Mus musculus: one gene and its partner. The protein of the gene in region 1 purifies or fractionates together with the protein of each later gene. This does not show direct contact. Links are inferred from orthologs where the notes say so. Each region holds a gene or a part of one and is shown on either strand. Other genes may lie near its edges.

The links.
Region 2: the proteins of Chd1l (region 1) and Aplf purify together in Homo sapiens (affinity purification with mass spectrometry; 4 studies listed by BioGRID and IntAct, counting the BioPlex papers as one, with this or other methods). This does not show direct contact. The link is inferred for Mus musculus from reciprocal best matches to the Homo sapiens genes CHD1L and APLF.

What each region holds. Positions count from the first base shown.
Region 1 is NC_000069.6:97,607,092-97,611,597, reverse strand, and holds the start of Chd1l (chromodomain-helicase-DNA-binding protein 1-like), read left to right. Parts: upstream 1-1,407; 5' UTR 1,408-1,426; coding exon 1,427-1,535; exon of another isoform or gene 1,536-1,660; intron 1,661-4,506. UniProt on the Homo sapiens protein: ATP-dependent chromatin remodeler that mediates chromatin-remodeling following DNA damage.
Region 2 is NC_000072.6:87,658,371-87,662,186, reverse strand, and holds part of Aplf (aprataxin and PNK-like factor), read left to right. Parts: intron 1-3,198; coding exon 3,199-3,346; intron 3,347-3,592; exon of another isoform or gene 3,593-3,621; coding exon 3,622-3,754; exon of another isoform or gene 3,755-3,774; intron 3,775-3,816. UniProt on the Homo sapiens protein: Histone chaperone involved in single-strand and double-strand DNA break repair.

The DNA of each region.
Region 1 (4,506 bases):
GGGGGACTCTCAACAAACCAGGTCCAGCCATTTGCCCCTCCCCCCCCAATCAAATGGAAAAACGACTAGTGAAAAAAGGACTGTATTCAATACAGCTCTATTGGAAAACGGGGGCAAGTTTGTTCAGTTCCACTGGTAAGGGACAGATAACACACTATGTTCTTGTAAGAGCCCACTAGTAGTTCATATTATAAACAAGAAACTTCAAGTACCCACTGAGAACTGTTTTTTTTTTTTTTTTTTTGAGTTAATCTTTAACCTCAACGTAATTGATCACAGAGGGGTGCGATGACCTTGGTGTATCTGACACCTCCACTCTTGATCTGGTTGTACCTCAGGTCTGGTTCTGTGTGTTCCTGGAGAAGTCTGTATAACGGGATAATTGATCACAGAGGGGTGCGATGACCTTGGTGTATCTGACATCTCCCCTCTTGATCTGGTTGTACCTCAGTTCTGGTTCTGTGTGTTCCTGGAGAAGTCTGTATAACGGGATGGGTAAAGTCCCTTAGTCATTAGAGGACTACTTCTGCATAGTGGGGCCAGCCTTGGTCCTTCTTAGGACAACGTGGCCATTAGTTATTTGTTATTTGTTTTTGTTTTTATCACACATAGATGTTCTGTTTGAATGGCTACTCTTGGAATCTTGAGGGGATGGGGGGGGGGGAAGTTCTCTCGCACTTTATTTTTAAGAAAAGGTTTACTGCACCTTAGGCTGGTTTCAAACTTGTGTAGCTGAGGCTGACCGTGAGCTCCGGTCCTCCTGCCGACAGCTCCCTAGGGCTAGGATTACAGGTGCTCACCCTCATGCCCCACCCGAGGGCTTGGTACATTCGAGGCAAGCATTCTGCTAACTGAGCTTTGATCTTTATTATTTATTGACACCTTCCTGCTTTGCAGCCCAGGCTAGACTGAACTCACAAATTCTCCTGCCTCAGCCTCCCCAATGCTGAGATTACAGGAATGTACCACCAGGGTCTTTTCTTTGAATGTATCTTGTCACTACACATTTTAAGAGATAAAGTTAATCTTATTTTGGTGTTTTTAGTCATACATGAAGAAAAAGGTTAGATAATATAAGACGTATCTACCTTGTAGTACTAGTTTTTAGGCATGTGCATCGTAACTGAAAACATGGAAAGCTGCTCAGGAATCGGACCCAAAGTTTAAAGAAGACAGATAAGAAATTAAGGGGGGGTGGGGAGCTTGCCAAGTTTTGAGCTTGCTGTTAGCTACCCAAGCAACCCAAGTTAGGAGTCAGAGCTTTTAGCAAAGGCAGCCTCTAGGTCCTAGTCGCAGACGCACACTTAGACCAGAGTCTTCCGCACCTGCGTGCTAAGGAAGCGTGGGAAGGCGCGCGAGCTGCGCCCTCTGGCGGCGGTGCGTTGTACTCCGCACGCGCGGGAGCGAAGGCGCGGGGCCTCTCGGGATGGCGAGCGGCTTGCCGCGCTTCCTGCAGGCGCTGCCGGCCGAACACGGGCCGGAGCCGCTTCGGACGCGGGTGCAGGAACCGGACTTACAGCAGTGGGGCTTGACTGGTGAGCGGGCCGGGGACGCCCGGGGGCGGGCGGGAGCCGGGAAGGCGCGCGGCAGCGCTGGCCTACGCGGGGACAGCGGGGGAGCCAGCAGCTTCCCGGCCGCTCTCGCTCCTCCCAGTCTGCGTTTCCCTGCCGACTGGGCATGCGCACTCACTTGTTGCGGCTCCCTAATGAACTCTCAAAGTTGCGCTGCCCAGCAAAGTTTGTCCTGTCCTGTGCCTCTTGTGCTTTCGTATTAAGCCCACTTGCCATTACGAGTCCCAAGTGAGGGGATCCCACATGTGTGGACCCCAGGTGTGTAGGCTCCAGATGTGTAGACCTCAGTTTGTAGGTTCCAGATTTAGAGACCGCCGGCCTGCAGACCCCAGTGGACCTGGAGCATCCTCATCCTGCGGCGTTCTCTCTATTCCACATCCCAAGACTCCTTTCCTTATGTGTCTGCTGGGAATGTAGTGCTGGTGTAACGGAAAGTCATAATGACTCACCAGTTGTCACCTCGTGGTCGTTATTTGTTGCTGTCGAGAGAGTACTGTGGGGTATGGGGAGCAGATAAACAAAATAAATAGCGGCCCTAGGACCCAGTTTCTTTACTAGCGGATACGTGCTTTTGAAAGCATAAGGAAGCGCTTGACTTACACGTGCCAAGTACCACCAAAAGGTGAGGGTTTGGAAAGGCAACAAAATGTGCCTTTCTGCCAGGCGGTGGCGCACCCTTTAACCCAGCGCTTGGAAGGCAGTGGCAGGTGGATCTCTGAGTTCAAGGTCAGCCTGCTCTACACAGCTAGTTCCATGATAGCCAGGGCTATGTAATAGAGAGACTCGTTCTTTAAAAAAAAAAAAAAAGTTCCGTTAGCTTAGAGGAGGGGCAGATGACGATGAGGGCGAAGTGAAAGACAAGCAGTTCATATTAATATTTTCCATTTATATTCAACTTTAAAATTTTTATTTTTGAGATTATAGTTACACCTCCTCTTTACTTCTTTACACTCTCATAAACCCTCCCATTCTCTCCTTCAAATCCATGTTCCCTCCCCCCACTTAATCGTTATCCTATGCTTATACCTATGTACATAAATACTCCTAGATATACTAGTTCAGTGTGTTTAGTGTCACTTGTATGTACGTTTCAGGGCTGACTGGTTGGCACTGGACAGCCAGTTGGTGTGCTCCTCCCTAGAGAAGACCCCTTTTATTGCTCTTAGCTTTTCTTAGTTGCCTGTAGTTCTTTGTGTAGGATTGAGGCCTCAATGGCTCCTCTCTGTTCATTTTGGCATGCTCACTGGTACTATCTGCATGTGTGGGCAGTCATGTTGGTGACAGTGTAAACAAAGCGTCTGGTGTTACTTGGAGACACAATTTGACAACAAAGTTTTTGACCTTGCTTTCTGTCCCCTCTTCCACAATACCTTAGGTGTGGATCTATCCATTGGGACTGAGTTCTACACTCTGCATTCTAATTGGTTGTGGTCCTCTCTATTGCTCTCCATCTCTGTCAAAGGAAAGTTTCCTTGATGAGGGGAGAGGACTGCGCTTATTTGTGGGTATAAGGACAAGTGTTAGTAGAAGGCAGCATTACAGCTCAGGGTTCTCTGATTCCTGTTTCTCAAGTCCTTCCACCTCTGGGCATGCACCCTAGGTCAATAGAAATGGACTGTCTATTTTGGGGATCTCCTGGACAGCCCCGACAGCACAGTTCAGTTGCCCTTTCTGTTTACTAGAATAAATGCAGTATTCAGAGATGGCAATCCATTGAAAACCTTCTGGCCTTTCTTCCCTGTATGTGCTCATGAAATAATTTATGCCTACAGAAAAAGAAATTTTAGTTTACAATCCTAACAACTCAAAAGAGGGCTTCTCATGTCTTCTATTTGGGTTTTTATTGGGTGGTCTTTGGCTCTGGGAGGGAGCATTGTCAGCCCAGGTGAGAAGAGTGTGTTAAAGCTACATATGTATATTTATACACAGATTTACATTATTATAGGTTTGTTTTGGTTTTAGATACGTAACTGTATGATTCTTTGTGACTTTTTTAGATACCCGTACTGTTATTTTACCCTCCTTTTTCCTTCTGAGTAGTTAGCTAGGTTTCCAGTACAGGTCAGACATGTTTTCCCTCTTGTTGAGCCAGTCTTTTCCCTTCCTCCCAGGAGAGTGCCCCCCTCCCCTTTATCATTCTCCCTATCTGTACCTGATTTAAATCTGGCTTTGTGGACTGGCCTTAGTGTATTAAGCTTATCTTGATTGATGTTTGTCTGCCTATATGCGTGCCAGTGGCCTTGGGATTGATACTTTAAAATATGCAGAAGGGCCAGAACTGTATACAGATCAAATCCAGCTGCATGTAATGGTCCAGGAGGAGCCTATGTGTGCAGGGGCATTCTTGATAAAAGAAAGTGAGCAGACAAGAGGGTGCAGGTTTGAATGCATGGGATAGATATGAAATGTAGATATTATCACAGCCAAATACTTATTACAGTTATGAATTTAATATTTTAGATTTATTATTTTATGTGTGAGTGTTTTGCCTGCATGCATGTGTATGTATTACATGAGCTCCTGGCTCCTATGGAGGTCAGAAGAGGGTATTGTATTCTCTGGGACTAGAGTTACAGATAGTTGTGAGCTTCCACGTGGTACTGGGAGTCTTGAGTCCCCTGCAAGAGTAATAAGTGTTCCTAACCCCTGAGCCAACTCTCCAACCCATAGCTGTGGATTCTTAAATCCTCATCACAGTATATCTAGAATACAGAGTGCAGAATGTAAGTTTCTTTACACTGAGCAACACTGGTAATTGCTAATTTGAGAAGTTAAAAATAGCTTTTTTTATGGTTTACCAGACTGTTCATTTGGCGGTTAGTAATGGTGGAAACTTGTTTATGCATCCTTGGATTAGAAAGCACCTTCTGACTTTTTTGGTTTGTGAGTTTGTTTGCCCTGTCACTTTGGTCCTTTGCCTGAGAGCGAGGCACTA
Region 2 (3,816 bases), on another chromosome or scaffold:
GGGGGAAGGAGATGGTGAGACAGACAGACAGAGAGAGAGAGAGAGAGAGAGAGAGAGAGAGAGAGAGAGAGAGAGAGAGAGACAGAGAGAGAGAGAGACAGAGACAGAGAGAGAGACAGAGAGAGAGAGACAGAGAGAGCATGAGCCTGTTAGTGTTAGATCCATGTTAAAACCTGGGCCACCTCTCTAATGTGGTAGGAAAGTTACAAGTATGTGAAGTGTATTTTGCATTCTTGTTACGTCCCCAGCAGTGGGTGCAGAGTGGGTGTTGGCGCTTGATTATCAGATTGAGTGATGTTGTGGTGAGGGTAAGACTTTTTTCCTTGGCTAAACTTCATTGTTGATGAGGAAGGAAGTAACACCATTTTGTCCCTTTGGGAGATTTTCTTCCAGGAAAGCACAGTATATTTTTGACATATTAACTTATTTTTTCCAAAGTACTAAAATTCTTAGCACTTATATTCCATGCAAATAACTGCTGGTTTCAAGTACTAATTCTGAACAAAGCAATAGCATGTTGATAGAAATCTCATTTTAATGTGACAATGAGTAACTTTAACATTCATTTGTAATTACAGAAGGGTGTGGATTTGGATGGGAGAGGAACTGGGAAGATCTCAGAGGGGAAGGAAAAAGGATTCAGAATATATTGTATGAAAAAAAAACCTATTTACAATAAAAGAAAAATGAAAGGAAAATTTATAAAATCATTTGTAATTATTTTAAAATCAGTTTCTTTGTATTAGCATATTTTATATTAAAGACATAAAATAAGCAACATGTTTGAACATAATTTAGATTATATTTTGAATCCTTAAGGATAACTTAACCTCTAATACAATCTTAAGTATGAAGACTATTACTGAAGAACTCACATTTCCCAATTTCAAAACCTGCTACAAAGTGCAGTCATTTTGTCTGGCATAATGGTAAACATAACTCAGTGGAGTTGAGGGTTAAAAAATTAGCCCTTATATTTATGGTCTTTACCTTGGACAAGGGCACCAATTCTTTTTTTTCCCCTGATGGCTTAGGATGATGAACACTTCTATTTTCTCTTTTCTTTTTTTATTAGATATTTTCTTCATTTAAATTTCAAATGCTATCCTGAAAGTCCCCTATACCCTACCCCCCACCCCCCTCCCGCCCTGCTCCCCAACCCACCCACTCCTGCTTTCTGGCTCTGGTGTTCCCCAGTACTGGGGCATATAACCTTCACAAGACCAAGGGCCTCTAATTCCATTGATGGCCGACTAGGCCATCCTCTGCTACATATGCAACTAGAGACATAAGCTCTGGGGGTACTGGTTAGTTCATATTGTTGTTCCTTTTATGCAGTTGCAGACCCCTTTAGCTCCTTGGGTACTTTCTCTAGTTCCTTCATTAGGGGCCCTGTGTTCCATCCAATAGATGACTGTGAGCATCCACTTCTGTATTTGCCAGTTACTGGCATAGCCTCACAAGAGACAGCTATATCAGGGTCCTGTCCTCAAAATCTTGCGGGCATATGCAATAGTGTCTGGGTTTGGTGTTTTTTTATGGGATGGATCCCTGGGTGGGGCAGTCTCTGGATGGTCCTTCCTTCTGTCTCAGCTCCGAACTTTGTCTCTGTAACTCCTTCCATGGGTATTTTGTTCCTCATTCTAAGGAGGGATAAAGTATCCACACTTTGGTCTTCCTTCTTTTTGAGTTTCATGTGTTTTGCAAATTGTATCTGTTAGATCCGTTTGTTTCATAACTTCTGTTAGTTTCAGTAAGGGTACCAATTCTAAACAAACAGGCTGAAGTTAGTTGTCCAGACAATACTGGAACAGCTAATATCCACAAAGAAAGAAATGAAGTTAGACGTTCACTTTATATCACATAGAATCAAAACGGATCAAACATCTAAATCTACAGAGGGTAGCATAGGTATAAATCCTTACCACCCAGCCCCAGGTAATGGCCTTACATGTCCAACAGCAAAGTATCAGCATTTGATAAATTGGATTTCCTCCCATTTGAAACCGTGTATGCTTGTGAGAGCAGTCAAGAAACAAAAAGGACAAGTGAATGACAAAATATTTATAAGTCACATACATCTATAATATCAACATCTAGAATATATAAGCAGTTACAACTCAATAACAAAAGAAAAACCTGATTTTAAGATGTTCAACTGATTAGAATAAATATTTCCTAAATTGAGCATGAAAAGATAGTATCACTAGTCATTGGGAAATTTAAGTCAAATCTATAATGTGATTCTCATAACAGTTTGAAACTAAAAATGCTTACTTAGCTCCTAGGCATCTGTAATCAAAGTCATTAGTAAATGTTGATATTAGCATATGGAGAAACTGGAATTCTCATATACTGTGTGATGTTATGAAGTAATTCATTCTCTTTGGAATGCCCATATTGTGATAATTCTTTAGATTTTAAAAACAAAAAACAGTTGTATGGCCTTGCACTGCCCCTGTTAGGTTTATGCCCCTAAGTTGAAAACATGAGTTTACACAGAAATGTATACATGGGTGCTCACAGTGATGTCATTCATAGTAGTCAGGGTGGGGAAACCAGCCGAATGCCTCAGCTGTGGAGTGGGTAAGCAAGTACAGAGTGGAGGATAGTTCCTGTCATTTATTATGACTCCTAACATCGAAGTTCAAGTCTGCTTTTGAAAGAGGTTATTCCTTATTTTACAACTGCTGACAGAAAAATTTAAAACTCAATCAGACTCTTCAGCTACATATTTCTGAAATCTCTCATCTTCTGTTTTAATGGTGTATTTATTTTCATTTTATGTATGTGAGTGTTTGCCTGCATGTATGTGTGTAAGTGCATCATCTATGTGCTTGATGTGCCCAGAGGCTAGAAGAGGGTATTGGAACTGAGGTAACAGACAGTGAGCCAACATGTGGGTTCTGGGACTAAACCTAGGTCCACAGCGAGCGCTCTTAGCTGCTGATCGATCTCTTCAGCCCTGGTCCATGATTTTAAAGACTAATGTATGATGTGATAATATATGAAAAACATGTACTGTAGCATTAACTGTGGTTTTAGGCTTCAGTTGGACAGAATGAGCTGAGCACCCCAGTGAGAGGTCCTCAGAAGCATAGAACTGAACAGCCTCAAGGCTGCTACCGTGTGTTGTAACTGATAGGAATGTTACGTGTTATAACTGATAGAAAACCAAGTTCCCATTTTATTTTATAGAAACAGTCAGATGCTTGATGAAGATGATATATTGAGTGAGATGCAGAAGTCCCCTGTGGTTAACTTACCTGATAAGACAACTGGTGCCTCACAGCTGCAAGGAAGCCCTGAAATAACCAAGACCAAGTGTCCCACCATAGATCCTATGGTGAGAATCGTAAGACGCACCATTCTAATCTGGTCTTTATTTCAAGGAGAGAGAAGACAACTGAAATCATGCATGTTACAACGCCTTGGGTTTTTAAGTTAGTCTGTAGAGGTCACACTAGGCTGACAGTTAAGTGAATAGGTAATGAATTTCTTGTAAGAACTTTAACTGTTGTGGATAGCTATGTTAATGCTAATTTTCTTCAAAGTAAATCCCTTTTCAGATTCACTAAGGGTAGGTGGTTACCTTTAGGAAATAATTTATGGTTCTATTAGTCCTCTTCAGGTGAATGCAGAGCTTTCAGTGAGCACCAGCCACGTCCTACCCAGAGGAAAAGAATCCTCCCAGCTTGGATGTTGGCGGAAAGTCTAAGTGACCAGAGCCTCTCCACACCAGCTGAGGGGGGAGGTAGGTTCCAGGCTTTGTTACTGTTGAGTTTCGAGGAAGCATTAAAGACAATGTTAAGGTTC